Linked DNA regions of Drosophila melanogaster. The protein of the gene in region 3 interacts with the protein of the main gene of each other region in a pairwise test. Each region holds a gene or a part of one and is shown on either strand. Other genes may lie near its edges. The genes, in order: Cpr64Aa, ara, pie and GstO2.

What was found.
Region 1: the proteins of pie (region 3) and Cpr64Aa interact in a two-hybrid assay, tested with the Drosophila melanogaster proteins (one large-scale study listed by BioGRID).
Region 2: the proteins of pie (region 3) and ara interact in a two-hybrid assay, tested with the Drosophila melanogaster proteins (one large-scale study listed by BioGRID).
Region 4: the proteins of pie (region 3) and GstO2 interact in a two-hybrid assay, tested with the Drosophila melanogaster proteins (one large-scale study listed by BioGRID).

What each region holds. Positions count from the first base shown.
Region 1 is NT_037436.4:4,206,068-4,213,172, reverse strand, and holds Cpr64Aa (cuticular protein 64Aa), read left to right. Parts: upstream 1-3,994; 5' UTR 3,995-4,080; coding exon 4,081-4,281; intron 4,282-4,608; coding exon 4,609-4,986; 3' UTR 4,987-5,335; downstream 5,336-7,105. Other genes in the region: Cpr64Ac (cuticular protein 64Ac), read left to right, coding at 300-311, 374-928; Cpr64Ab (cuticular protein 64Ab), read left to right, coding at 1,701-1,715, 1,825-2,172.
Region 2 is NT_037436.4:12,576,873-12,585,004, forward strand, and holds the start of ara (araucan), read left to right. Parts: upstream 1-3,799; 5' UTR 3,800-4,230; coding exon 4,231-4,281; intron 4,282-8,132. UniProt on the Drosophila melanogaster protein: Controls proneural and vein forming genes. Positive transcriptional controller of AC-SC (achaete-scute). May act as an activator that interacts with the transcriptional complex assembled on the AC and SC promoters and participates in transcription initiation.
Region 3 is NT_033779.5:10,419,533-10,427,105, reverse strand, and holds pie (pineapple eye), read left to right. Parts: upstream 1-4,325; 5' UTR 4,326-4,462; coding exon 4,463-4,576; intron 4,577-4,643; coding exon 4,644-6,278; 3' UTR 6,279-6,481; downstream 6,482-7,573. Other genes in the region: small ribonucleoprotein particle protein SmB, read left to right, coding at 610-612, 982-1,578; Wdfy2 (WD repeat and FYVE domain containing 2), read right to left, coding at 1,834-2,114, 2,176-2,372, 2,436-2,562, 2,623-2,735, 3,008-3,355, 3,426-3,586; RfC3 (replication factor C subunit 3), read right to left, coding at 6,554-6,705, 6,761-6,838, 6,901-7,115, 7,176-7,573. UniProt on the Drosophila melanogaster protein: Required for survival of imaginal disk cells possibly by regulation of cell apoptosis. Required for germline stem cell self-renewal through mediation of BMP signaling.
Region 4 is NT_037436.4:8,518,981-8,526,822, reverse strand, and holds GstO2 (glutathione S transferase O2), read left to right. Parts: upstream 1-3,321; 5' UTR 3,322-3,391; coding exon 3,392-3,422; intron 3,423-3,601; coding exon of another isoform or gene 3,602-4,323; exon of another isoform or gene 4,324-4,412; intron 4,413-4,504; coding exon 4,505-5,091; intron 5,092-5,150; coding exon 5,151-5,288; 3' UTR 5,289-5,388; downstream 5,389-7,842. Other genes in the region: GstO1 (glutathione S transferase O1), read left to right, coding at 2,021-2,048, 2,106-2,689, 2,749-2,870, 2,926-2,956; se (sepia), read right to left, coding at 5,389-5,523, 5,581-6,149, 6,206-6,233; GstO3 (glutathione S transferase O3), read right to left, coding at 6,614-7,311, 7,842-7,842.

The DNA.
Region 1 (7,105 bases), on a different chromosome or scaffold from region 3:
GCAGTTATTCCATTGAGAAAAGCCAGCACCAATGATGAAATCCGCACCAGAAACACGAAATCCGCCATCAGCGATGAGGTCTGGGGTGCAAGATCGAGATCGAGATCGGGCAGCCACCAAATGAGACGCAATTGTCACTCTGCCCATTAGATTGTCCAGTTTTTTTTTCCGCTGGCAGCTGCCGCCAGTTTCGAATATAAAACTGAAGACCACGCGGAAAATGCATCTCACATTTGAGCTGAGTTCTCGCAGTGCAGACACATCCAAACCAGAGCTCCCTCATTCTCACATCCTTCGCCATGATTGCCCAGGTGAGTTGGCCAAAGGAGTGCAGCTTTTAGTTGGCTCAACTGATCATGGAATTCCTCGCCAGACTCTGTTCGTTTTGGGACTGATCCTGTCCGCCGTTGTGGCCATTCCCATTGATCCCTATGGACTTTCGGCCCCTGGACTCACCTATGCGGCTCCCAAGTTGCTTGCTGCTCCTGCCATTTCCTATGCTGCTCCCAAACTCCTGGCGGCTCCTGCCATCTCGTATGCCGCTCCTGCCATCTCCTATGCTCCCAAGGTCCTGGCTGCCCCCGTCGCTGTGGCCAAGGTGGCTGTTGCCGAGCCCTACGATCCCAATCCGCAGTACAGCTTCTCGTACGGAGTAACCGATCATCACACCGGTGACTCCAAGCAGCAGGAGGAGACCCTGGTCAACGGAGTCGTCCACGGCAGCTACTCCCTGGCCGAACCCGATGGCACTATTCGCAAGGTCACCTACACCGCCGACAAGGTCAACGGATTCAATGCGGTCGTGGAGAAGAAGGGCGTGGCCGCGGTGGCCATTGCCAAGCCAGCTCTTGCCGTCGCCGCCGTTCCCGCCATCACCAAGATTGGATACGCTTCGGCGCCTGGTCTGAGTCTGGGTGGATACCACTAGGCGATGAACCGGTGGACCAAGCGATGACAAACTCCATGGCCTAGTTGTAGGACCGTTGTTAAATAGTTCTAATGCATTTACCCACTTTTCTGTCAGTCAAAACCCGAAACACAAGGACGTGCGTGCTGTTGCCACCCCGCTGTTGACCCACATTCCCAATCTCCGATCGAAGGATCGCCACCATAGACTACGTTTAGGGATACCGTTCTGGGGATCTGGGGAACGGCTATCGGCCACTTAGTGAATTAGTAACTGCATTTACTGAATAAAAGTTTCGGTACAAAAAAAAAGATTGAATGAATTGTTATTAGTTGTTCGATGGAACTGATCGGTTGGAAGTGATATTCGAAAAGTTGAAATATTTCTAGGAATGCTCCACATTCCCCTGCTTAACCCAGTTAAACATTGGGGTAGGTCCCGAGCTTCGAGTTAAAGCTCCCAATCTTAGATTCCGATCACGTAGTGCCAACTATATTTACGGTTATCACAATTCATATTGGTGGGGCTTCAATGGAGGGGAGAATTGTGCAAGTTGGGCCATTGGATGGCACGTCCATGGGGGAAACTTTTTGCAGGTGGACCAGGCACAAAAACGGGCCATTACGTCAGCAAATGGAATCGTTTTTGGCAGCGGTTGCCACACGGCGCATGTTATCGCGGAAATGTGGAGGCCCTTTATAACCCCGATCCAATGGCAATCCAAGACAGTTCCGACAGCATTGTCAAGCACAAAGCACCATTGGAAAACCACTATCCACCAGCAAATCTAGTCATGGCCCTGATCAAGGTGAGTTGAGGGAATCCTGGTCAAGGAATGTGATTGAACATACTACTAGGATCTGCACAAGTGTATATCTTGATCATAAATCAATCAATGCACCTTACTTAACCCACAGATCACCCTCATCTGCTGCGCTCTGATCGCCGCCATCGAGTGCGCCCTGCTCCCAGCTGCTGTTCCAGTGGGAGTGCCCCTCAACACGGAGGTGGATCCACATCCGCAGTACGCGTTCGCCTATAATGTGCAGGATGCCCTTACCGGGGACAGCAAGAGCCAGCAGGAGGTGCGGGATGGAGATGTGGTCAAGGGCTCCTACTCGGTGGTCGATGCCGATGGTTCACTGCGCACCGTCTTCTACACCGCCGATCCCATCAACGGTTTCAATGCGGTGGTGCAGCGAGGACCAGTTCCGGTGGCTGCTCGCCCATTGGTGGCTCCAGTGGCTGCTCCAATCTTGGGCTAACTCCACAATCTTTCAGAGCCTTTAACACTGCTTGTAACCTAGCTTTTACATAACTTATTGTCTGCTCCTTAGTCCGTTGTAAAGTCAGTAATCATTAAACAATAAACTCAATAAGCCAAAGAAATACATGAAATCCTTCAATCATATTCAAGGAAAATCCGCAAGTATTCGCTTCTCAAGGCGTTGATTAACTAAAATTAATCAAAAGCTCTACTAAAATTCCGAAACGAGTTTAAATTTACACCTATACATTTTTATTAATTAGTCAGTTGATTAGACAAGCTCAAGGCCCAAAATGCATACTTGCCTAGTTAATGATAATGAACTAAATTAAAAACACACTTAAAAGTAGTGCAAAATAACAAGATATTCAATGGACATTTTTTCAAGATCAAAATTTGCGTGTTAATTATGATGCAAATATCGTCGTTTTGAACTTGAAACTTAGCAGTGTGTTAACTTTTTCAATTACATCATAATTGCGGGTGTCAAGAAATGGAAATGGTTATGTGCTTAATGGAACTAATTACTTGGTGAACATTTTCGTGACTCCATGCCATGTAAAAGTGGTTTTGTAATTTTAAATGTAACAAAATGTAACCAGGAAAAGCCCAATTCGCCAAAGAAAGCTGACCCATTCCACTTACATAAGACCGCAATCTTAGATGGTTATCTCCCCTCCAGCTGTCCCACGCCCAAAGAACTCTTCCACTCCAAATGAATACATTCACTCTCGCTGGCCCAACACGCACTCAAATTATTCAATAGCTTAATTGAAAGTAAAAAATCGGCACGAGATGCAATTTTTGGATTACGCAAACCCCAACCCGAGCATGTCCATAGATGTTGCTGCCGGCGCCGACTGCAACTGCAGCAGTTACTGCAACTGCAACTGCAGCAACGCCTAACAAGCGGCGGTACGCGTTGAAAATTAGTGATAATGGCCAAAATTGTCCCAATGGCAACAGAGCAGCGAAACAGAACCAAATCTATACACTCAAAAAAATACTGCATGACATTCGAAAATCTATAGGATTGAACAGAATATTCTACAATTGATATCCTTTTGTATTGTATATGTTATCCAAGTACTTTTTTCGTAGAGATTTTAATATCACATATCACATTCATTGCGGTTAGAACTTTTTCGTTTTCTCGCAGTGCATTGAATGCGTCTGGCGTAGATTTTTTGGGTGGGCGCGGCTTAGAGCAGCCAGCCAGTTTCGAAGGCTGTGCCCCAAACACACCTTTCAACAATCGACTGCTGGGTGCGTGTGCAGCGTCGCCCCAATCTGGTGGCCATAAAGTCGAGACATGGAGACATGGGAGGCACTGGTGCTCATGCGTCCACCACACCTGATCCGTCCGGCCACCCGGCTTAGGCCCAAATAATTCGCTTTCGAATTGAACTTTTTTGTCACGACAACAACGACGGCGATTCAGCCGGCGTGGGACCAGTTTGCTTTGGTCCAGCACAGTCCTCCCAGACTCCCAGACATGCGTGAACCGCCAAGCACCTCCAGCGCCTTCAGCTCGACCGGCAGCTCCTCCACCTCCGGACAGCCCCTTCTGATTGCCATGGGCAGCGAAAAATGAATTATTTTATATTTGTCGCGATCGATGCGAGCATTTCGCATAGGCACAGGCCGCTACAGACTCCACACGCATGCTCACTTTTTAGTTGTTTATTATTATTTTTTGTGTCTTGCTGCGCTTTTTGCATAAATATCTGGTGGCAGGCGGCGGCGGAGGCTGTGGCGGATTTTTGGGCTCGCGTCTATGTGAGGCCTATAAAAAGCAATTGTCGTGCGGCCACAGAACCACAGATCGAGTTCATTTGTCAGTCGAGCAGCAGTAGACCTCCAGTTCTCCACTACTCCATCGCAAACACCAAGCAATCCGTCCAGAATGGCACAGAAACTGATCCTCGTCCTGAGCGCCCTGGTGGCGGTGTCCTCCGCCGTTGTGGTCCCTGGTCCCGGACTGGCACTGCCCGCCTATCCATCGTACCCGGCGCTGGCCAAGGTGGCTGCTCCTCTGGTGGCCAAGGTGGCGGGTCCGGAGCCATACGATCCCAATCCCCAATACACCTTCAGCTACGATGTTCATGTGAGTCAGCTTCGTAAGAAGTTATTAGTCACCTCATAAAAAGCAATGCCAATTCAGAAATCTGCATTCGAATTTTATTGCTTTATTGAGCAACTGGTATGCAAATTTTGATTTTGCCAGACATTTTTATGAAGTGTTTATGGAAGCTTAGAACTATTAAATCCGACCACTTGGTTGAGCAAGTTGGATGTTGGATATAAAATATTTATAGTTTCCTTGAAATCCTTAGGATATAAGATGCAAAGGATTCGTTTCAAGGCATTTCTTTAAATATAAAGTACCTATTCCTATCCTTTGCTAATCCAACAACTTCCTTCTGCCCACCAGGATGGCTCCACTGGTGACGTGAAGAGCCAGCAGGAGACCCGCAGCGGAGATGTGGTGCAGGGCGCCTATTCACTGATTGAGGCCGACGGAACCCGCCGCATTGTGGAGTACACCGCCGATCCCGTGCACGGATTCAACGCAGTGGTGCGCCGCGAGGGAGCTGTGGTGAAGGCTGTGGCTCCGGTGGCCAAGGTTCTGGCCCCGGCTCCGCTGCTCCATGCCTCTCCTCTGGTGGCCAAGGTGCCCGCCTATGGTCCGGCTCTGGCGCCCGCTTACCCGGCTCTGGCCCACGGATACGGACCGGCTCTGGCTCCCGCCTATGGACCTGCTCTGCCCAAGCTGGCCCTGCCCGCCCTCTCGCCCCTGGGCTACCACTAAGTCAGATGGATGGATATACACCACTCGAATAATGCCGACCTCTTGCCGCAACCGAATAATGGACACATCGCGACCAACTTCTCCTGCCACCTGGGCTCCAGTTAGCCGGAGCTCATGGGCCGATCATAGTCGATAGTAGTTGTAGTATTAGTGGAAATGAAAGCGATTTATCGAAATATGTACATACGAATTCACGGACAGCGGATTCCGATTGCCCAGTCCTTGAGTTACGGATCCAATGTTCCCTCATCTACACTCACACATTCTCGAGACCTTTCATTTATGTTTCTTGTCTTCTTAATCTTAAGGCTGTTTGACCGCGATAAATACTCTATAATCCCCAACTCACAATCCCCGTTTCAATTCTTATTTAATCCGAGCCTGTGCACTCGAGTAGAACTCGCAGAATGAGAAACGAGATTGCAATAAACGAACCGAAGCTATGCAAATGGAAAGTTAATGGAGTATTCTTTTACGGGAAATGAAAATTTGGAAGAAAATTACTCTGATTCTTGAGTTTTAAAACGGAAGCTGATTTCTGTTTAAAGCTATTGCTTGAATATTATATCGAAATATATTACAACCATTGAACATTAGTAGGATTCAAAGACAATTACTATATTTGTAGCTAAATAATTGAAAATATCTTATGTTACATATTTTTTGAATATATAATTTTCAAATAAATCGGTTTCCTTCAAGAACTAAAGAGTTATATTTGAATAATATTATTCAACTAATAGGCAATAACTTGCTTGTGAATTTTTTACGCTTAATAAAAAGTAAAGCATACTAAAGCTATTTAATTCGATTTTAATTGCCAAGATTGCGTTTAATTCTAAATCATTGAATGATAATCGCTGTTATTAGAACCAAAGTGCCATTATTCAGTGGCGGCTTAGACTTTGACACTGGCAACACATGAATTCCATGTTAATTTTGGGACATGTAGTGCACTTGTGTCGCTCACCGCCCGTGAGTGGTTCGACCTTAGAACAGAACAAGCCCCACCTGCGTGGGTCACCCACCGGGCTACCGATGCAGTGCGCCACTGAATGGTGGATAGGCTAATCGCTCAAGGTCGGGCCACGCACCACAGAAAACTGCGTAATTCGAGCGTCAATGCAAAGTGGTCTAAATGAAATTTATGGTCTCAATTGGAGAACAGTCCGTCGCCGATCCGATTGCCAATCGATCCGATCGAGTAATTGGCAACTGGCCACCGGGCACAATGGAGAACTTGGAACTGGAACTGAAACTGGCCGCGCCTCGATCATTGGCTTTGGATCCGGATAATTTGATCCGTCCGAGAACTGACCTCCATCGGAATGGTGCGGAGTGGACCCCACATCGTCTGCACATCTGCAGCGGCGCCTTCAATTATGCGCATATTTGTTATTATTTATGTAAAAATGTATAGATCGCATAATGACTTTTCGTTACATTTGCACTTGCATAATGCGACGGGCCTTTGTTGCAATCGACATTAAACGCTTTTGATGATTTAATAAAATTAAATTGAAATGTTAATCGCGACACGGCATGGGCGGGAAACTGGAGGGGGGTAGCTTCAAAAGACATGGGCGAAAGCGTAAGACAATGGGCGTGCTGCAGCTCCAAGCAACCGGTGCTACAATGGGCACCAAATGCTCGAGGGGCTACCAAAATATCGGGAAAATTTTAGAAAGTATTGCGGAAATACGATGATGCACTATAGTTTTCACATTTCATTAATATCTGCGCATTATACACCTTTAAGTTGAGCAACACTTTAAATTTAGACATTCTTTAACAACTTCTAAAGACAATTGTAGTTAAGAAACTTAAAAATGCCTTATGTAAGCAAGTAAACAAAATATAAGCATATAGACACCTGAGTAGATTGATTTTCAATAAAAAACTATAAAATATTTGCATCATAATAAAGTTTTTATTAATAACGACTAAGTCCTAGACCCCGGCCATATGATAATCTCAAAATCTCGCCACTAATCTCAGATTAGTGAATACGATTTTAATGAGATTTTCAGCCAAAAGTCCGACCATAAATAGCCATCGGATTATCACCGATTTGTGGCATTGTGTTTGACGCATTTCACCCATTGTGTCAGTGGAACTA
Region 2 (8,132 bases), on a different chromosome or scaffold from region 3:
ACATTCGAAAGTGAATGGGTGGGTACATGTGCATGTACTTCGATTTCTATCAGCCAAATACATATATTGCATAATGAGTAGAACTCAATTATGTGCGTTGCGTTATATTCATGTGACAATTTTTAATGTTTTCTGACAACCATTAAAGTCGAGCCCGCTGAAAATGACAACAATAAAAGTGGCGGCATCGGGCAAATAAAGCAAAAAAAAAAAAAGGGAAAGGTTGCCGCATAGAGTAGAGTGTGTGTGTGTGTGTGTGGTGCGTATCGCATCCTGACCCTTCTTTCACACCCGATCCGGATCCCTCATCCCTTCCCACGAAGATCCCCGCCAAACCGAACCAAACCGAAACTCGACAGGCGTCAACGGCGAGTGTGTGTTGTGACAGTTTTTGCCGGCGAATATAATAAAAATAAAAATATATATTTCATTTTCCACGGCGTTTGGGTTTGAGTTTTGGGTTCTGGTGTGGAATGGAATGGATTCATTGCCGTTGCCATTTGCCGGCTATTTTGAAATTGATATATGCATAAACCGCAGTGACAGATGTTGCAATTAAAACGGCATAAAACGGTGGAGGAAATGCCACCACCAAAACTGCTATATCCTTGATCGAAATATATATATATTTGTGTATATACATATGTATGTTTTATCGAGTGGCGTGAAAAGTGCGCGCTGTCAGTTTGACTGGCGGACAGCTCAATTGTCAAAATAGGTTTTAAGTGCCGTCGACTGATTTGTAAGTGAAGTGCACTTCTTGCCACCGAAAGTGGCAACTGCCAATTGTGCGATTTCAGTCCGCAGTCTCGGATCGACGAGGACTTTTTCGAGAATTCTTGCCACTCGATTCTCGAACTCAGAGGGTGGTCAGTGTGTGGCTGCCGCAAATGGAAACGCCCCATGTGGTTGCCACTCGTCGTCGTCTGGTGTGTACCATCATGCTGACCCATTGATTGATTGCATTTGGCCCGTCGCTGCCACGCCCCCCGCCGCCACTCCGCCCACAGACCCCCGGCCACCCCCTCTTGCGTCCTTCCCTTTTCGTCCGGCGATTGCAAAAGCGCCACTCGTAAAACGCGCAACACAGCAAATATTGTACTTAACACCCGGAGGGGCACTTGGAACGGACTCTACGCTCTTGTTGCCGCCGCTGCACTCGAAAAAAATACGTGCTCCCATTTAGAATAAATATTTTTAAAAGGCCTTTTGCTAAGAAAACTACCTTAGAAATATTAGGAATAGGCTCAATTTTTAATACTTATATTACGAACTTTTAGAAGCACACTTTATATAGCTTAATTATTTTATGGCATAATTAAATAATATGTACATTGAAAAATATGCATTATATATTTATAAATTATGTATGAAATTTATAAACAACCTTTAGTTTTTCATATTTAATCTATTATTTTTCCAATTTTAAAAGCAAACTTACTAATGTTTACCAATAAATTCTATACACCTTTATCGAGGTTCCTGTAAGTGATCCCCGATTTTGGCCAAGTGTGCGACTGCCGCTGGGTTTTGCCTTTGGCCTCGTCATGACTTGGCTTCCCTTGGAATTAATTCACATTTGGGTTTTGGTGGGGGCAACAGCTTTGGTCATTTGTTGCTTTCAGCTAACACGCTGCTCTCATTTTCCGGCGCTGCTGGGCCGCGGTGGGTGGGGTGCCACCACCCCCAGTACCACCCATATCCACTCACCATAGCCACTCCATACTGCTCTATTCTACCCACACTTCCAGCCACACCACGTGGATCGTTTCATCCACACACATATATCTTATGCGGAGCGAGGTGAGGACACGCCCAGACCTTATGGCGCAATTCCGTCGTGTAAGTCGCACTTTTTCGGTTTTATAGGTTAATTTGCTTTTATTACATTATCATAAAAATAAACAAACGACAAAAAAAAGAAGAAGAGAAGAACAGGAGAACAAACAAAAACACGCTGCAAACAAGCTTGCCAACATCCGCGGCACCCGCAAAAACATTTGAGGTTTACCTCATCTCCCCCATCACATCGCATCACATCCACGGCGGACTCTCCATTTCCGGAATGCGTGTCCTCGACCGGAGAATTCATCCTGCCGGAGAATCGTAATCGTAAAAAATAGATCGTAAAGCGGATGTCCAAATATGTTAGTGCGCATTAATAGCAAAAACTTTTTTCCAAATCCAGCATTTTCACGGGCTCATGTGCAATATGCGGGTACCTTTTACACACTAAACTTATGGAATTTTATAAATATAGTTAAAAGTTCATAATAAATATGGTGTAAGTGAAAAAGTGGGCCATTCCTTGCCCTAAATTTGACAGTATAATATATATTTTTTATGATTTCTTAAAAGACCGAACTTTCTGCAAAACACACGAGGTTTAAGTTATCTCTAAAAATATCTTAGAAAAATCAATTTTTTTTTTCAATTAATGTATCATAGTGCAGAAACATACGTTGCATGCAATTTATCAAAAAGAAAATTAGGTCAGGCTTTTCTTGTTTTTCGGATACACGTCAAGTGCTATTTAATTGCAATTAAAATTGCTTATGTTCTAGAAGATATTTTAAGTGGCGAAATTAAATTGGCTAGCATATTTAAGTAGCATAACAATTAGTTTAGTTAGATAATTAAAGTATTTTAATTGCCATAAATATTGTTCGCCAAAGTATCGCAAATGTTGAAAATACTTAAATGATCTGTGTCTGTTAAAAAGCAATTGCAGTAAAAAAATGCAATACACATTTTATAAAAAATTTAAAATGTCTCAAAGTTAATATATGTTATGATTACTAATAACATAACCTAAGCTAAGTAAAAATCTGGTTGATATTTAAAAATCCCAAGAATTAATGGTATGATTGCCTGTTTGAGTAAGGATATTAATTCCTTCCATAAAAAGTTAAAATCTTGTTGATAATTTAAGTAACTGGTATCCAAGTGGAATGATATTTAAACAAAGATCGCTGGAAATGTTTCATTTAAACCCGAATTAGGAGAGATTAATTAGTGAGGATCGATAATGGGAGTTAACTAAAGTGCAATGCAGCGATAAAGATAATGACAGACGATAAATACAGTGCGAGTGTCTTGGAATTTGCTGATCTTATTAACGCTTTTGTGTCGCCACTTTTGGCCATCGCAGCACTTTGTTGCCACTTCCAGCTGGCGATCGCTGGTGGCGCACTTCCAGTCGATGGGCGCGCAATTGTGAAAAGTAAACAAACAAATGACTAGCCAAACAAAACAAATGGGCGTTGCCCGGGAATTGTGGGTAAAACAAGAGACCATCGACAGTTGTGAAAATGCGTCCCGCTCCCTACCCACTTCCTCTCCCTTCACCATCCGCTCATTTCATTTGTATTTTCTTTTCTTTGCTTTCTTTCGCCTGGCGACCTCGCACCTGTCCATTAAATCAGCCAGCCGAAGCTCATGCAGCCCTACGATTGGTGGTTGCGCTGGCCTCACTTCCAGTGAGCCGCGAATACGAGTCACTGGCGGGGAATCGGATTGGAATTGCGGAGAGAGCGACCGGCCAAATGCCACCACCAACACCAGACAAAACCGGAGAACGGTGGGCGTTGCTCTAGAGTGCTTACACTTCCAGTCTGCCGACTCCGTTATTCTTGTTGCTCGCTCCAAGGCGAGCGGCATTCCGTTTCTCTTTCGATGGGGGGAGGCAGCATATTGTTGTCCCGCTTCCGCGCCAACTGCAGCGGAATGCGCCCCAACAGCGCAGCAACAACAACAGCAACAGCAGCAGCAACACGGCCAACAGCAACGGCATTCGCAACCAGTTCGTGTTCGAACGTTATAAGGTGCACATCTGAAAGGGAGCGTGTGCTGAAGCGCCGCGTTTTTGCCGTCGATATTTCGTCGATTTTTCGTTGCCGCCGCGTTTTGCGAGTGCTGTTAGCCAGAAAAAAAAATAAAATATATATAAACAAAAATCCACCACAAGTGACAGCTGCAACTGCAAATACCAAACAAATCCACGAGATACTTTCGGTTGGCCCAATGTCGTTATGGTCGTTATCGCCAGTGCCCACTGTGAACAGACCCAATCGAAACTGAGCTGTTAAACCCCCGATAAGCACATCATTTGATGTAGCAGCTTCACCGTATATCCTTCAGCAGACTGCCCACGAGCGAGAGAGAGAGAGAGAGAGAGAGAGAGAGTATCTTAAGACTAGGTCTTATATAGTCGTATAGTCATATAGCGAAATGGCTGCCTACACACAATTCGGATACGGAGGCTTTCCGTCGGCCTCGCAGGTGGGTCCTCTAATTAACTAAATTTGATCTAGATGTATATACTATATGATGGCTATTCATATTCATTAAGTAGCAAGAGATCTCAAGATAACTAGAGGAATGAAAATGTTTATTAACTGCAGATATGGGAACCTATTTAGATACAATATTATTCATACGACTGATATAATCAACTGATTATTGTAATTATGATTGCCTTAAAGATTCATAATTTTTATGTTTGGAGGTATTAAAAACAGAGGTCACAAGCAAAAAGCGTTGTAAAATCATATTTTTTCATATACATATTTAATTTTTCTATTTATAATCACAACTATCTTTTCTGGAGTGCGTTCCATCATTAAAACTGAACCCGTTATCTGAATATTTTTTCTAAAATTTTTTTCCTAAAAAAGCTTGGTTGGGTTTAAATTCTATTTGTGTGTTTTTTAAGCAATCCTTACCACCAACTTTCATCTGAGTACTTCCACCGACTCCAGTCAAAGTTATCCGATTATTTGATCTTGAGGACCCACTATAGGGCAAAACCGCTAAAAGTCTTTGATTGTAGCGCTTTTGGACTTTTCACTAAGCAGCAAAAACAGCTGCTTGAGGCAAACTTTTTCCATGTTTATGACAGTAAATTGGTGGCAGGCCAGCAAAAAACCATAATAAATCAGATGGCTGATAAATGGCCTGAGAAAAAGCCACTCCGAGGAATCAGGCGTTTTTGTCAACCTTCAAAATTCACACAAAAAACGATTCGGCGTTTTAAAGATGTTGCACAAAATTGCGCGGCTTGCAGGTGCAACTAAAATATTTGTAAAATATTGTGATAAATTACAAAAGTTGTAGAAGCTTTCGAAAGGCCTAGAGTAAATTAAATTTCCTATTGATTGCGTTTGCCTGGGCTAAACTTTAATTTCCCAGGCCATAATACTTGGTTACCAATTGCCTGGTTCTTCCTCCAAAGAACTCTGGCGTCTTTCCCATTTCGGACCACACGAGCCCAATTAACTAAAGTCGAAAACGAAAGCAAAAAAAAAAAAAAAAAACTAAAGAAAAAGGAAAAGAAAAAAGGGAAAAGCCTTGGCAATCAGAAGGCCAAGACGATGGGAGGTGCCGATTGAGGCACGCTCAGGTGAAACTGTTGAAAAGTCAATAAAATTCAATTGCGGCGATCGTAAATCATAAAATTCATAACCGTAAAGTGACAGCTGAGGGCAGGCTCTGGGAATGCCCTCCTGGCTACGTGAGGAGCATCCATTGAATCTGGAGATGGCAGATAGGATAGCATCCGAATCCCAACGAACACGATCGATGGACCAATGACTTGGCTCCACTCTGATCTACTTTACATTGGCTTCGTTTTGGGGAGTGAGGAGAATGAGCGGAGTGCGGCTCCAAGTGGCGCTTATAGTCCGGTGCTATCAACTTGGTCATCTGGAGGAGATTGTCGGGGGAGGCACTCGGATGCAGAATCGCGGTAGCCTGGCCGCTTTGGTGGACCCACGAGATACAAGCTGCGATTAGATCGCTGCGTTTGCGATTCACAGAAATTTCCAAAGCCAGTGCAACTCAGAAGTTGGGTATCTGGCATTGGGCATTGGGTACTGGTTACTGGTTACTGGTTACTGCTCACTGGGCACACACATGGCCAGCAGATCTTATCTGCGCACTGTCGCCTGCCAGTCGTCGTCGTCGTCTGCATCCTCCAACTGCGAACAACGAAAGTTCCACGTTCCATCCGCAGACGTGGCCAATTCACATGGCCCACTGGACCACTGGCGCTTCCTCCGAGAGCGGAAAGGTACTGCTGGAATGGAGTCCTCTACCTCATGAATAATGCATTCGCTCAAGGAGCTGAGGAATCTGGCAGGCGCATAGAGCTCCCTATATGGTGTCGCCTATCAGATTAGTTGTCATAATTCTCATATTGTTGCGTTTGCCGAGAAACTCTGGGAACGCGTTGCCTCCTTTCGATCGCTGAACATTCCCATACAGAATCGAGCGAAATGTATTTGCTTTTTACTAATTAAAATCACGCGGCACGGTGGAATACAAAAAAAAAAGTCAAAAAAGTAAAACAACTGAATCATTCATTTGTAAAATTTTGATAAATGGCTGTGAGTTTTCACATTTTTTTTTTCGATGTCCCTATATATAGTCAGCGGTCTTGGCCTCGAAATTCTATTATTTGTGCGTTTCAGCACGACTCAAAAAAAAATATGTTTTTCCTTTATTAATTATGATCGGACTTGAGCGACCTTCTAGTAGATCACTCACCTGCTGAATTTCGAGGGGATCAATCTCGAATCGAATCGATCGCATCTGATAATTATAAAATAATATGCATGTGCTGCGATTTTCGGGCGAAGAAGATGGTTCTATTGTCAGATTATGTTAATGACGCGGAATAATTATGCATTCTGCTGGCTGCATTTAAGTTTTGACCGCGAATTCGGCCACAGAAGCCGTGTTAGCCGGGCTAAAATTGTTGCTGCCCAGATATTATGACCTTTTGCTGGGCACTTCGATCAATTTGTAGCTGTCCAACGGGCGGAGCACTCAACTTAATTATGGGTTCGGTGCGTCGATATTTTCGCCCAGAAGACTAAAGTCTTCAGATTCCAGACCTTAAGACTTCCAGACTTCAAACTTCAAGACTTCCAGACTTCAAACTTCCAGACTTCAGTTTGCAGATTGCAGACTGTGGGGAAATTGAAGCAGTCCGCTCGTTTTGCAGATTGCCCGCGGTAATTTTCAGAAGCCTTCGCCAGCATGTTGCCCGACTCCATCTCCATCTGCATCAATTCCATGCATCCCATATCCACATCGATCTTGTGGATGGGTCCGAAAAAGTCGGTCTGGTCTGGTGCTGGGACCTATAGGCGTCGGCTGCCACACCCTCATTGATTTCTGGCATTTTTTAAAATGCCCCCAAGAGAACTGGCTTCGTGGGCTTGGCACATTTTGCATATTAATTGCCAAGTGAGTGGCGCATGCCATAGGCGAGGTTCCACTGTGTAAAAGATGGAGGACATCACATCAGGCTGCCCCCGTTGCCGATCCGTCGCACTTGGAATCGATTTGCTGGGTAATTGATCTGGCCGCCATTGCAGCGAAGTTCGCGAATCCCGAACTGCACTCCCATCCGATCCAATCCACTCCATTGATTAAGGGAACTTAATCGCCGCGGGATTATGAATCCCGTCCAGCTTCTGCGCTTTCCTGCCAGTGGCATTGATTGTGTGTTAACACCATATTCGCTTACATGTTATCGATGCATCTTGTAATGGGTGCCTACTGTCGATTTTTCGAATTAAATTCGCAATTACCCAGCGATTCAGGCGGATTTTGTGTCTTCAGTAGGAGGATGGCCTGCAAAATGGTACATTGATCTGGGGGATGGGTAAACAACATTGCCGGACATCAATATTTATGAAGTTTCCAGTACGGCAGTTAGCATGACTTACTCGGCATTATGATGCAGAAAATTAGCCATTATACATGGACGTGCGTTTCCTGTGCCGCGTCGATTGGAGGCGAGTCATCCCATTCCCGGGCAGGTTTCCATCCTCGCAGCTAGTTGACATCTAGTTTATGGCGCTGTTCAAGGATAGTTTAGATAATTATTAAATTACTTCTCAATTTTCTAAGTAATACGGACAAAGTGTTGGTACTTAAGAGAATCTGTTTATAAAGTCTTCACTTTTCTTTGGTTTTTTTTTTTACTTTTCAATAATCGGAGCTTTATATATATTTAAAAATTGAAAAAAAAAACAGTAGTATTCAAGTGTTTAAATCTCGTAATATAAAAGCACGAAATAAGTTACCAAAATCATTTGCTTGGAACATTCTTTAGATCCATC
Region 3 (7,573 bases):
TTCGCTGCGGCTGCGTCACGGAACGCACGCCTATATGAAAATGGGAGTGTATACTATAGCAATAATGGCGGCATTCAGTGTTTCAACAGCTGCATACGTTACCAAAATGACTTTTCGCCTAATTTGCCAACGAGTAGAGATGTGAGGGCTTTGCCGCTTCGGAAAAAAACTTGTCAGAATGTCGGCATAAACAATGACGTGGCTGATGAATAAGAATAAGTTTGATAACATGGCCACTGCCTATCGATATCGATAAGTGCCGCCACATGATTTTTTTAATGAAAATTCGACCATCTCTAACGAAAAAAATTGAGAAAAAACATACTGATTCAAATTTTTTCTTTTTTCGTTTTTTATCATAAGATTTAAAAAAAATTTAATTTTTTTCTCTTCTTTTGCTAGGGATAGTCGAATGTTTGTTTAAAAAATCATGTGGATTATCAATAAAAAATTTATATTCGATAGGCTCGATTGAAAGACACCAGAAAATGCTGACCGCCGCACACGCCACTCGATTTATTCTTCATGCCTATCGAAAAAAGCCGTGGTGAGGTTCCGGCATCTGTATTTTATTTACAAGCGATAGAATTAACATAGAAATCAAATAAAATGGTAAGTAAAAACACTGTTTTAAGCATCTGACTGCAATGGTTAAGTTTTGTTTAGTTGTATTAATTCATAGATTCTTACTTTCGCGGTTGCGATTTCGTATTTACATAGGCATACATACATACAAACATGCATGCGAATAAATAAAACAATTTGTTTTGGCTAATTAACTATTTTATATTTGTTTAAAATTATGATTTTTAGTGATCTTCGATATTACGCTGAGATTTGCTATTTCAAACTCTGTGGTTTATTAAAATTTTTATAAATACCGGCTTTTTTAAAGGGTCGAAATGGTTTACAAAAGATGGCGCGACTTTTATGCATGCTATTGTATTTCACAATTAAATCCTTTGAATTCCTTTATTTCAGACGATCGGCAAGAACAACAAAATGATTCAGCACCTGAATTATCGGGTGCGAATCGTGCTGCAGGACTCGCGTACCTTCATCGGTACCTTCAAAGCCTTCGACAAACACATGAACTTGATCCTCGGCGACTGCGAGGAGTTCCGGAAGATTCGCTCGAAGAATTCCAAGGTGCCCGAGCGCGAGGAGAAGCGCGTGCTGGGCTTTGTATTGCTGCGCGGCGAGAACATAGTTTCACTGACGGTGGAGGGACCACCGCCGCCAGAGGAGGGCCTGCCCCGAGTTCCCATTCCGGGAGCAGCTCCTGGTCCGGGAATCGGTCGCGTGGCCGGACGCGGAATGCCTATCAACTTGTCCGCCGTGCCAGCGGGTCTCCAGGGTCCCGTGAGAGGTGTGGGCGGACCCGCCCAACAGCACATGGCTCCGATGGGACGAGGAGTGCCACGAGCACCGATGATGGGTGCACCGCCACCGGGCATGATTCCCGGCGGCATGCCCTCGATGCCAGGAAACATGGGACGCGGTGCTCCGCCACCGATGCGCGGACCGCCGCCCAGCATGATCCGTGGAGCACCACCACCGGGCAGGGGTGGCTATTAAGTATAAAGTACAATCTAATAAAAACTCATTTAGAAAACACCACTTAATCGATGGATTCGTGTATTTATGTGTTGAATGTAAGCATACGTACATACAATGATTATTGCTTTACATCAATTATATGAGAACCTAAGCAGCAGGGACTGGATTTGGTCGTTGCCAGCCACATCGTTCGTTAATTGGGTGTTCCAGTTAAGACCGAAACGCCTCGTGAATGATTATACCTTTGGTACGTGCGTGTGCGTACAGGATGTTTTATGCCCAGATGTTGGAGAGATCCCAGATCTTGATGAGCCTGTCCTGGCCCACTGTCAACAGGCGCTTTCTGTCCTCGTCCAGGTCCATGTAGACGATCGAATGCTTGGCGTCATTGAATGAAGCCAGCGAGGGGCGCTCGACTGTCTGAAGTTGTTTGTAGCACGGATCACAGGTACGCACATCAAACTCGAAGCCCATTATGGGTATGTTAATGCGATTGGTGGAACAGTTGTCGCACACGGCTTTGCCGCAGTGGCGACAATGATGCTGTCGTATTCCTGACAGTCAGAAATTACTTGTAAAACAAAGAGTAACTCAAGTGTAAGCTATTTATCTCACCCAGCTGCTTTTGATCCATCATTGAGCGGAAGTTCCAGAAGAAGGGCCTGGAGCAAAGCTGACAGTTGTTGGTATCCACCCAGCCAGGAACCTCTTTCCGCATTGCATTCATTTCCCAAAAAACCACTACTGAATCTTCGCCACAGCTTATCAGTTGTTGCGTGTGATTCGCGTACGACAGGGCGGAAACTTTGTTGCTACATAATCAGAAGTGCCGATTACTATCTTATTTTATGAATATTATTTAAGATTGGAGATACCTATGTCCCTGCAGCTCGTAAATGGTGCCACGTTTGCCACCAACATCCCAAACTAGCACGGACTGATCGCAAGCTCCGCTAAACAAGAGCTGAGGGCCTTCCACCCATTTGAGGCACCGGATTTCCGCTAAAAATTAACCAATTCGTATATAATTAGCTTACTAAATATCATTTGTAACTTGTTTACCCGAATGTCCATTGAAAGTGGTAATTAGTTGCACTCCCTGAACATCGCACCTTAGCATTGTTATCTGTCCAGCATGATCGCCCACAAAGGCATACTTGGCCAAAGCGTCGAACCTAAACGCAGATTATAATTAATTATATGTTGCTTATAGAATATTTCGCACAGTGCACACATTTATGCCAAAATTTTGTGTAGATAAAATGACTCAGTTGACACGTCATTAACAATAGAAGGTTCTCAAATTCTAAATGAATTCCATAGCCGTGAAGAATTGCAGTTTATTGCCGTGTCAAAGAAAGCAGTTTAATCCAATTAAATGACCCGCTTATCCCATATCCACTGTCGCACCCCCTTCCCCCTTTCACCATCCATTTATCATACTTACTGGAGAGCCGTGCATGGTGTCTCAAAGTTGTATCCGCCCACCCGTTTGCCGCTCTCCGTGCAATGATAGGCGAACTGCTTATCTTTGCCGGCGGAGAGTATCCACTTGTGGGTTTTCGAGAAGACCACGGCCATGACCCGCGCTTGATGGGACAAGTAATCCCGCAGGAAGGACAGGCGATTGCAGTCTTCGGATAGCGCGTACTGGGTGACCGTTCCGTTTTCCTGGCCGACGTACAGGTGCCGGGATTCCGAAACGTACTCGATGGCCGTGCAGCCGGAAGGCATATACTGGCAAATGCTAGGCCAATATTGACCAGAATCGCGTTTTAGCCAAACGCGAACGGTTCTATTGGGGAAAACATGAAAATGTCAGGCATACCATTTGTGTATATTTTTAATGGGCTACAGCTACGCACTTGTCATCGGAAACGCTAATTACGCCGTTTTCGCCCGGAATTAGGATCGCTGCGTTCACATCGTCGCTGCTGCCCTCCAGCTTACTCAGCAATTCCGGCTTTTTGGAGGTGTTAAAGCGATCATTGTTGGTCCGCTGAGCTGGTTTTATCTCGGCAGCCATATTATTTAAGGTGGATCCAGTCCGATGGTACGCCTACGCCCTATTTAACGCACTCGATGATAATGCGGTTATAAACAATCCGATTCTCGGACTGGGGAAGGTGAATGGAGATACGTGATTCACAATCAATTAACAAAACTGTGTTATTTTGTTTAACATTAAATATACTGAACTTTGTTGTTGGAAAGCTCGTCTAGATAGCGACGCCAAGTTTAGGAATGCTGCGGAATAGTGGAATCGATGAAATGAAAATAGAATCTTAATTGTTAGATATAGTTTTTGCGTATTATTGTATATTATTTTGCTATTAAAAATACTGAAGGTATTTCGTGTGATGTGTCGCAGCATTATGTATGCATATGCACGCACCACATTTTATAAACATACAAACGAGCATTTGAATCTTGAATCTCAGAAATCGCTTTATAAATGTATAGTCTTATGATTTTCATAATGGCATATCATATCTAATAAAACCTACGGACCACGCACAGTTATGTTTCCGGTTATCATGCTATTTAATTATTAATCACAAAATATTTGTTTATATTGTGTTAAGTTTTTAATACGTTAAAATTTATTATTACACATAAATAAATAATTTTATTATAAGTAGGGTTAACGCAAAATATAGCTAGTTAAGCAGATTAGATCATTGTGAGTGTTGCTCAGTGGAAACAGAGCTTTTCCAAAAATGTGCTTGGTGGAATTGAAGTATAATAAGGCGCTGTTGTATTTATTGTTTTTCAAAATCCTTGCCCGCCAATAGAGTAAAAAAGGAATGCAAAACATGTTGATAGTTTTAAAAATTATTCATAATAGCACTCAAACGAGTTGATCTGTCCAGCAAAACTAGTCTGAGCGGCCAGCTTACAAATGGAAGATAACAAGGAGCTGCAATGCTTAATATGCAAATATTCGGACACTGACGACCTGGTCTTTGGCGAATGGATGATTGTACGCAATTTGCAGGTGCACTATTTTTGCCTGGTAAGTGCGATTGTTGTGAAATGAAGAGAACTCCCGCTAATGTAAACTTCCTGATCCAATCCACCAGCTACTCTCAACGCATTTGCCGCAGCGCGGCGGAGATAGCAGTGGAATCCTGGGATTTCTGCTTCGCGATATCCGCGAGGAGGCAGCCGCCGCGGAGAAGAGGAAATGTTGGTACTGCAATAAGATTGGGGCCAGTTTGCAATGCGATCGTTGCCGGTCATTGTTTCACCTGAAGTGCGGCCTGGAGAATCGCGCCGTTTTCGAGTTCTGCGGCCAATACAAAAGCTACTGCTACAAATGCAGGCCGATGGATGACTACAAGCGACAGCTGCAGTCGAATCCGCCGAGGAACGCCACTTGCCCCATCTGCTTCAGTTCCATCTATAAGGTAGAGCTGCATTGCGTTGTGTACGGTGACTGCTGCCGCCTCGGATTCGCCCATAAGAAATGCATGCGTCAGTACGCTCTGACCTCCGGATATTACTTGCGTTGCATTTGGTGTCGTTCGGAACGTTTCAGGGATTCCATACGCCTGCAGTCGGTATTCGTGCCCGATCGCGATGCCACGTGGGAGAAGCAACGGAACGCCTATAGGGAGCTCCACGAGCGCAATCTGAAATGCGACCAGCCCAACTGCCTGTGCCCCAGTGGTAGAACTTATAATAGATTATCGTGGGTGATACTATGCTGCAGTTCTTGTGCCGCCACTTCGGCTCATCTTAAATGCTTGGTGGGCGCCCTGCGACTGCCGAAGAAGCGCGAGCGTACAGATTTCAAGTGCTCTATGTGCCTGGACGTGGAGAGGAGGATTGCTGAAGGACCGGCTCGCACAACAGAAGAAACCAATGCTGACGGCGACAACCAGGTGGATGGCTCTTTTTATGTGCAAAAATTGGGACCCGATGCTGCAACTCGATCCTTAACCCAGACTCCTGTTTTCTCCGAAGAAGACGAAAGCGAACGAAGTAGTAATATCACGGTTATATTCAGCCAACCGAAATCTAACGCAACAAGCGAGAGGTTATCCTTATCGCCGCCACAGGAGGAGATGATAGTGGAAATTCCTGATTCGCCAGAGGCGTCGCCAAAGACGTCCATCGATGAGAACCACTCGCCGCAGCCAATAGCAAGAAGGGACACATCCGACTCACCACAGCCAATAGCAGCAAGTGAGATCCCCGACTCACCGCAGCCAACAGCAGCAAGTGAGATCCCCGACTTACCGCAGACAACAGCAATAAACGTAAACCCTGAATTAACGCAGCAAACAGCATTAAACACGATTCCACACTCACCGCAGCCAGAAGCCAGCTTCTCAACGCAGCTAGTATCACAAACTTTCGATTGTCCACAGCCGCAGGAACAAGCTGTGGCGAAAGCTCCCAACTCACCGTCACTGCCGAAAGAGGATCCAAATACTTTACTTGTGCTAAAATCGGGCTTTCAATGCCCTGGCGAACCATTTTTCTACTTGGTTATCTACGAATTTGAGCACGGCACATGCATGGGTGAGTGCATTGGTACGTGTGTGCTGCGATTTAAAGAGGATGACCCGCGCATTCAGGACACCTCGCAGGCAGCTTTGGAACGCGTCAACATAACACCAGACGATGTATGGTGCCGCAGCGAGGACCGCGGCATCTTTGAGCATATCGAGAAGTTCCACGAATGGTACAGATCAGAGGGGTTCTCTTAAATATTGTTTAAAACAATTCTTAATGTTCTTAATGTTTTAAACAATTCTCTTGTGTGGGAATTAATTCGTCATAGAATTCTAGTCTCTTTATGCATATATTGTTTCGCATGATCATCCAAAAAAAAAAAAAAAACAAAAAAAAATTTCCTACCTCTGAAACCACTTTAAAAAGGTTTAATGATTGTTAAACTAGAGAAGCATGCAGTAAATAAATTGTGTTTTATGTTTTTGTATTTATAATTTAATTCTAACCTATTATTGGAGTACACATTGTTTCACTTCTCCATTGAAACCATATCTCGGCAAATAAAGAAGGCGGCTACCAGAGCTGCAGTTTGAGCCACTTCTGTACATCCTTTGGCCAATCTCTCCTCGATCTGAGCTAGCTTTACAATAAGCTTGTTCATGACCGACATAGGCAGCTCAACTGTTTGGAATACATATCAATAACTTGACTTGATGATAACTTGATAAAAACTTACGTCTCATAACAAACAAATGCAATTCTGTAATGATGTCTTCCAAAGCGAGACCTCTTGCGTACTTGGCACTTTCGACAGCTATGCAAAGAGAAGAAAGAATCATTAGTTTTGATCTTTCGCCATTTCAAATCGCATCATACTTTTGAAGGAGTCCTCCAAGCTACTGCCGGATAGCAAGGCCTTCAATATCTGTTCAATATCCTGCCTCAACGGATAGCCCACGCACATGTAGACGTTATCCTCGTTTACCGTATCAAATGCCATCACGGTACTCTGCAGGACGTTCAAGACCTTTCTCATATCACCTTTGGCCAGGGTCAGCAGTGCCCGCTTGCCGTCCTCAGTTATCTGAACGCTGATAGTTGATAGATTTTAGGTTAGTAATAAGCTATTTTATGCAGTTGAAAGACCTTACGCTTCGGCTTCGATGATTTTTTCCAGTCGCGGCATCATCTGATCCTGGGATAATGGAGCGAACCGAAAACGGGTGCAACGCGACTGCAGCGCCGGAATGATTTTGCTCAAATAATTGCAAATCACACAGAAGCGCACGTTGTCCGTATATTTCTCAATTATGCGGCGCAGGGCATTCTGGGCATCGTTGGTCATGGCATCGGCCTCGTCCAAAATGATCAGCTTAAAGGTGTCGCAGAAAATGGTGCGTGTGGACGCGAAGTTAAGGATTTGACCGCGCACAATCCCAATGCCTCGGTCATCCGAGGCATTCAGCTCCAGGACCATGGACTTAAACTGCTGAGGGGAATACAATTGGCGAGCGCAGGCCAGGATTGTACTCGTTTTTCCCGTGCCAGG
Region 4 (7,842 bases), on a different chromosome or scaffold from region 3:
GATAAATAATTCATCTGGGGGCATCGAAATGATCGTGGATCGCCGAGAAACGTTTGTTTTCCGTATTGAGTTGTTGGTTGCTGAAATGGTTGGCTGCCTCAGTTGTTGGCGCCTGGTTGCAAGGCATTCATAGCTGATATTGCATTTTTTTTTATTTGCAAATATACATATCAATTTTTGCAAATTACGCTGGCTCATGAATAATTGATTGGCGGCGGGCGTTTGGCGGAGAAATGGAAAAGTTCGCGCCCGATAAGGATGCTTCCCTTTTGGCCACCACCGGCACCACTATCTATGATTCATGCACCACCTACACTTCTAAAAAAAAAAAGACAAAAACAACAGAACTATGTGGAAGGCAGCCAAAAGTGCGAAAGGAACACATGTTGATATATGGGTCAGTGGCGATAACAGTGACGGCTTCCAAAGGGGGTTACGCATCCGGAATACAACTTAAATATTTCATATCCCTCAATGCGCAATACAAATATAAAATCTAATGACGTTATGTGTAAGGTGATAAGAGTATTTATTTACGCAAAATGTAAGCTGTGTACGTCGAACACGTGGATTGTAATTGTAACTATGATCGTTTGGATAAGTCTATTGATTTAAATAGAGAGAATGCTAGAGATAAAGCATACGCGATGTGAAGACTCATCCACGTTGTCTTCCCCCTTGAAATCTTATCTAGCCCCGCCAGTGGATGATAAGCATTCTGGCCCGTTTGATAACACTAATTCCATTGATTTTGCGTAATTAGGCTCTGAAGATAGCGAGCATGGAAATGGTATCAGAATTGCGCTGAATTATGTATAGAACACATTGATGATGTCGATCGAAAATAGCATAAAAACGTGCTGAATATCAGTGTAGTTACGTGTGCATCTGCGTATGTGTGTGTACAACAAATACATATGGATGTAAGTGAGCGGGTGTCAAAATCACACGCACATGGAAATGTCCCGCTATAAATAAATACGAGTGGGTGGTGGTGGGTGGATTTTGGGCGGTGGGAGGTGGAATGGGGGCGCGTCGCATGCACTTTCCATTCTGAACGAACTTATGCCAAGATTAAACAAAGGCGAATAATTAATGCAAGCCCACTACTAACTCACCCGTAAATTTGCCGGACTGTTTAGCACATCGCACACTGTAACACACACTCACACAATTCCCACTAGAGTTATTGCGGGATCGAAGATAATGCTGGACGATTCTGGGAGCTATAGCTTTTGCCGATGCGGTGGGCGTGAATGAAAGAGGCCGTAGAGATTACGCCGAGTGTCAATTACGTTGCAATAATCTCGGTTTGGCACGGGAAATCGAATCGAAGCGAGTCCGCATGGAGCGGCGAGATTTGCACGGGATACGGAGTACGGGATGCGGCCACCAACACCAACACGGGCTCAGTTACGCAAGGGCGAGCTTACTGTAAACATTTTCCGGACACGCTAAACATATGCCGCAGCAGCCATCTCTCTTTCGCTCACACCGCCAAACACAAGAAATCCGCAACTAAAACAATTTTGTTATAACAATTATCGATAGGCGGTAGGGATGTGGAAAAACACCGAATCATCCGCGATAGGTATCGGTGTTCCGTTGCTATCAACGCTACACATCGATGGCGATCAATGTAACCTCTTGCAGCAAATATTAAAAACGATAAATATAAATTGATTTTAGATTAATTATGTATATACAATATGTATTTGGAGCAGTGATGCAAATAGTCTATTATGGATATATAACCATAAATTATTGAAATTAAAGTCCTAAATAATAGATGAATAGATGACTGAATTATATTTAAAAAAATTAAAGTTGTAAAAATTAATATTTAAGATTAAGATAGATTTTTTTAAACCGATTAAATAATAATTGATTAAAAATACATCAATCCTGTAAAAAGACAATACGTTATCGAGCCACCTTAACGTTTACTGTCAAATATCGATAATTGTCATAACCCGCAAAACAGGTTGTGTTCCTTTCCAGAAAAAATTGTATTGCCAATATGAGCAATACTCAGCACTTAACTATTGGTTAGTATAAGTTACTAAGTTCCAAATTCACATTTAAAAGGCGCATATATATTGCAGGCTCGCCAAAGCCCGTATTTCCGGATGATGGGATCTTAAAGCTGTATTCGATGCGCTTTTGCCCCTATGCACACCGTGTGCACCTGGTCCTGGATGCCAAAAAGATTCCCTACCACGCTATCTACATCAATCTTCGCGACAAACCCGAGTGGTTCTCCCTGGTGAGCAGCTCCACAAAGGTGCCGGCACTGGAGCTGGTCAAGGAACAGGGAAATCCTGTGCTGATCGAGTCGCTCATTATTTGTGACTACTTGGACGAAAAGTATCCGGAGGTGCCATTGTATCCCAAGGATCTGCTTAAAAAAGCCCAGGAGAAGATTTTAATCGAACGTTTCGGACAGTTCATCAATGCCTTCTACTACCTGTTGCTGCACGACAATCCCGAGCAGCTGGTTGACACCGATCACTATGCCGGATTGGTCGTTTATGAGGAGGAACTGAAGCGACGTTGTACCAAGTTCTTTGGTGGCGACAGCCCAGGCATGCTTGACTACATGATGTGGCCCTGGTGCGAGCGCTTTGACTCTCTGAAATACACTTTTGAACAAAAATTCGAATTGAGTCCGGAACGTTTTCCCACTTTGGTGGGTCCTATTGGTTTTCTAATTATGTCTTTTAAATTACCGAGATTGTTCTACTGCAGATTAAGTGGCGCGACTTGATGATCCAGGATCGTGCTGTCAAGTGTTTCTATCTGGATGGACAGACCCATGCCAAATACATGAACTCCCGGCGATCGGGCCAGGCCGATTATAATATGCTATAGTAAGATTTGAAGATTATACATATAATGTGTGACTGATCCATTTCTCGTTTCTAGCAATGAGGCCAAACGTGTCAAATTGGGGTAGTCTACGGGATGATGGCGTTTCCACTTCAGCATTGTACCTTTTGCACATATAACATGTAACACATGTACCTACTACGGCAGCATTATTGTGATTGAAAAATAAATCTTTGCATTTTCATTGTTTATACGGGTTGTAAGTACGTTTGTTTTAGAATTAGATTAATGAAGGTATGAATGATAAATGGATATGAAAATACTTATCTTAGAGTAGTCGTTTGTAGTCTTTAATATGTGGTCAAACAATTTTCTTAAATATGAGCTTAAGAATTTTAAATTCACCCGCTCAACAATCGAAATATATTCGATAAATTCACTCGTCCGGCGACTGCGACCACTTTATAAGGTACCGGAATCCCTCTATTTGTTGTCAGTCGATCGGAACTACTTTGCCACCAACATTTCACGTCTTGGGAATTATTTTAAAATTGTTAACAAAATGGCCCTGCCGCAAAAGCACTTCAAGAGGGGTGAGTTGGGGGCACTTCAAGGTCATCGGGATAGTGACGCTGCAAAAGTTGGCAATTGATTTCATAGTTTTATCTAGACCCCACTTTGAGAGGCGTAAATTACGCAGAGATAGAGCTTTAATTTTAGCCAAAGCATAATGGAAAACTTTCTGCTGACGTCACAAATCACCCTTCAACAGGTTCGCCCAAACCGGAGATCCCCGAGGATGGAGTCCTGCGTTACTATTCGATGAGATTCTGCCCGTACTCGCAGCGTGCCGGTTTGGTTTTGGCCGCCAAAAAGATTCCACATCACACGGTTTACATTGATCTTAGCGAGAAACCAGAGTGGTACATCGACTACAGTCCATTGGGCAAGGTGCCGGCTATCCAGTTGCCAAATCTGCCTGGACAACCGGCTTTGGTGGAGTCCCTGGTCATTGCCGAGTACTTGGATGAACAGTATCCGGGCGAGGGCTCCCTTTTCCCCAAGGATCCATTGCAAAAGGCGCTAGACAGGATTCTCATCGAACGCCTGTCGCCCGCTGTCAGCGCCATTTACCCCGTGCTGTTCACCAAGAATCCACCCGCTGATGCCATCAAGAACTTTGAGACCGCTCTGGATGTCTTCGAGCAGGAGATCACCAAGCGCGGAACACCATACTTTGGAGGCAACAAGATCGGCATTGCTGACTACATGATTTGGCCCTGGTTCGAGCGATTCCCGGCCCTCAAGTACACTCTGGATGAACCCTACGAGTTGGACAAGACACGCTATCAGAATTTGTTGAAGTGGAGGGATCTGGTGGCTCAGGATGAGGCTGTCAAGGCCACCGCTTTGGATGCCCGAATCCATGCGAAGTTCATGAAGACCCGCCATGAGAACAAACCGGACTACGATGTAGCCTTCCAGCCCTTGTAAAGGATGTATTAATGGATGACAGGAAGCAACATACTTAAACTAACATTGTGAAACCGCTTTTAAAAAAATATTAAACCCATATATAAAGTAGACCATCAAATGTTATTTCTACCTTTTCAACTGGGATTTGGGTCAGTGCTTTTATTCCTGCCAATTAATCAAGCTTACATTGATCTTACAGGTTCCACCAAGCCCGAGCTGCCAGAAGATGGAGTTCCTCGTTTCTTTTCCATGGCATTCTGCCCCTTCAGCCACCGAGTTCGTCTGATGCTGGCCGCCAAACATATTGAACATCATAAGATCTACGTCGATTTGATTGAGAAGCCTGAATGGTACAAGGATTTCAGTCCTCTGGGCAAAGTGCCAGCCCTGCAGCTTACTGGGGTGAAGGACCAACCGACCCTCGTGGAGTCGCTCATCATAGCAGAGTACTTGGACCAGCAATATCCCCAGACGCGACTCTTTCCCACGGATCCGCTTCAGAAGGCGCTGGACAAGATTCTAATCGAACGTTTTGCTCCAGTGGTCAGTGCCATTTATCCTGTGCTGACTTGTAATCCCAACGCTCCGAAAGATGCCATACCGAACTTCGAGAATGCCTTGGATGTTTTTGAAGTGGAGTTGGGCAAAAGAGGAACGCCCTACTTTGCCGGCCAGCACATTGGAATCGTGGACTACATGATTTGGCCTTGGTTCGAACGTTTTCCCAGCATGAAGATCAATACGGAGCAAAAGTATGAGCTGGATACAAAACGATTTGAGAAGCTGGTATGTTTAAGTAATCCAACATAAGATGATGCATGTATCTCATCAAAAATCCATTACAGCTCAAGTGGCGCGATTTGATGACCCAGGATGAGGTTGTGCAGAAGACAGCTTTGGATGTCCAGTTGCATGCTGAGTTCCAGAAATCGAAGACCCTTGGAAATCCCCAGTACGACATTGCCTTCAAGGGTACACCATAGAACGACAACTGGTTTAGACAAGATCAAATCTTTGGAACCGGTTATGGACTGCATTTATGTTTTATTCATTCCATGCGAAAAATTCAATAAACCAAGTGCATCAGGCATCCTTGACCAGCAGATTGTAATTGGGTCGACCCAGGCTCCGTGTACGCAGGAACTCCGCCTGAACCTCGGCCTCCATGTAGAAGGCCATCACAGCCGGATCTCGTTTCATGCGTTCCAGCCAAAGGGTCTGAAAAATGGTATACTAATGTACTTCATCACTCCTGGGATACACGGACCTGCTCACCAGCTGGGGGAAGCGACTCTGATCGTAGTTATAATCCTCTCCACGCTGCAACTTAAGGAGCTCGAGGCGCTCACACCAGGGCCAAATCATATAGTCCAGAATGCCCGTCTGCTCGCCACCAAAGAATTCCGTACCACGTCGAGCCAGCTCCCTTTCGTAGATGTCCAGGCCGCTCCAGAAGGGCTCCAGATCACCGCCATCGGATGCCTTGAAGAAGGCACCTAACACCGCTCTAAATCGCTCGATTAGTAACTTGTCCTGCACTTTCTTCAGCGGATCACGTGGATAGAGTGGTCGCAATGGATACTGCTCGTCCAGATATTCACAAATCAGTAGCGACTCTGTGAGCACAGGTGGTCCAGGTTCTCGCACGATTTCTAGAGCCGGCACCTTGCCCTGTGGATTCTTCTCCAGCAGCCACTCCGGCTTGTCTGTGAGATTAATGTAGATGCTGTGATACGGGATCTGCTTGGCGTCCAGGACCAGATGCACCCGTTGGGCAAATGGGCAGAAGCGCATCGAGTACAGGCGAAGGATACCATCTTCGGGAACATCCGGCATGGGTGAGCCTAGTGGGCGCATTTATTATCAATTATGATTATCCTGGTTTCCTGGCTCTACCCACCTTTTGCCAAATGCCTGCCGTTACTCATGATGTGCGTGCTCGGGTCCAGAGATGCAAGTGGTGATAGCGATTGTCATTCGAGTGATTTATAAAGTGCAGCTCACTGCCCTTCGCCGGTTGGCTTCGCTTACGCGGCTGAACTTGGTGGCTTGCGGCTGACACACATACCAAGCCATGTGGATACAGTGAAGCCCCCTTGCAACCTGCATATTGCTCCAAAATATTTGTTTAAAACAAAACTTTTTAAGAACTAAGTTTTTCGAACCACGTTCTGTGAATCTGGAACGGAATTCTTGCCTTTCTAGCCTTAATTCATTTCTTTGTCACATAAAATATTTTAGTTTTTATTGTTTTTAGAACATTATTAAATCTCCTTTGTTATATAATAGTTTCATTTTCAGTACCGATCTAAGCCAGCAGATCGTAGTTTGCATTGCCGGCCTTGCGGGTGCGCCAGAACTCGTTGTGCTGCTCGGGAGTGGCATAGAAGGACTGCACCACCGAGTCCGCCTTCAGGAGGGCAATCCACTTGGTGATCTTCGGGAAACGACTCTCGTTGAAGTTGTACTCCTTCTGCAACTTCAACTCGATTACAGAGAGGCGTTCGAACCAGGGCCAGATCATGTAGTCCACGAATCCCGGCTTGTTGCCGCCAAAATATGGGGTGCCCCGCTTGGTCAACTCCTCCTCAAAGATATCAAGTGCCGTCCAGTAATCCTCCAGACCGGTGCCCTGCACAAGGATGTTTATGAAGGCACTGGTGATGCTGCTGAAACGTTCCAGCAGAATCTTGTCCTGTGCCCGCTTCAATGGGTCCTTGGGCAGCAACGGATTCTCCGGGTACTTATCGTCCAGATACTCGGCAATAATCAGCGACTCGATGAGCGAGGGCTCACCCTTCTCCGCCACCAGCTGCAGGGCAGGCACCTTAAGCAACGGACTCACTTCCACCAGCCACTCTGGTTTCTCGGTGAGATTGATGTAGACACTGTGATAGGGCACATTCTTGGCGTTCAGGACGAGATGAGCCCGCTGAGCGTAGGGACAGAACCTCATGGAGTACAGGCGAAGGACTCCATCGTCAGGGAGTACAGGCTTGGGGGAACCTAAAGATAGAATTTATTTACCAGTTAAATTTAGGTTATACAAATAAATCAATAACTTCATGAGTCACTTGTGGAACCCTAAAATCCACCCCTGTATTATTATTTGTTTAGCAAGTCATTGCACTTAAGTTAATGTTGATAGGGCCCAGTCGTGATAAAGCTCAAATTTTGTAGCTACGTTATCTTTTAGAGTGTAAATATTATGGGTTATCTGATATCGGGGTGAAAGCTATAGCTAAAAATGTAAGTAAATTTTACAAATCAAATAATTAATTTAATGCATTACCTACAATTGTAAAAGAATAAAGATCGTATTGAAATTTACCAAATAATATACCTTTCTAACTTTTTAACCAAAAAATCCCAGTTATTCATGCCAATATTCTTTAACATTATGAAATATAAAAATCGTTATTCGATAATTACGCTGAATGTTGGAGAACTTGTTTTATAAATAATACTATAAACACTCTAATGACATGGGCGTTTCTCTTGGCGGCGGCGACAACTGGTTTTGCTTGCTCTCTTACC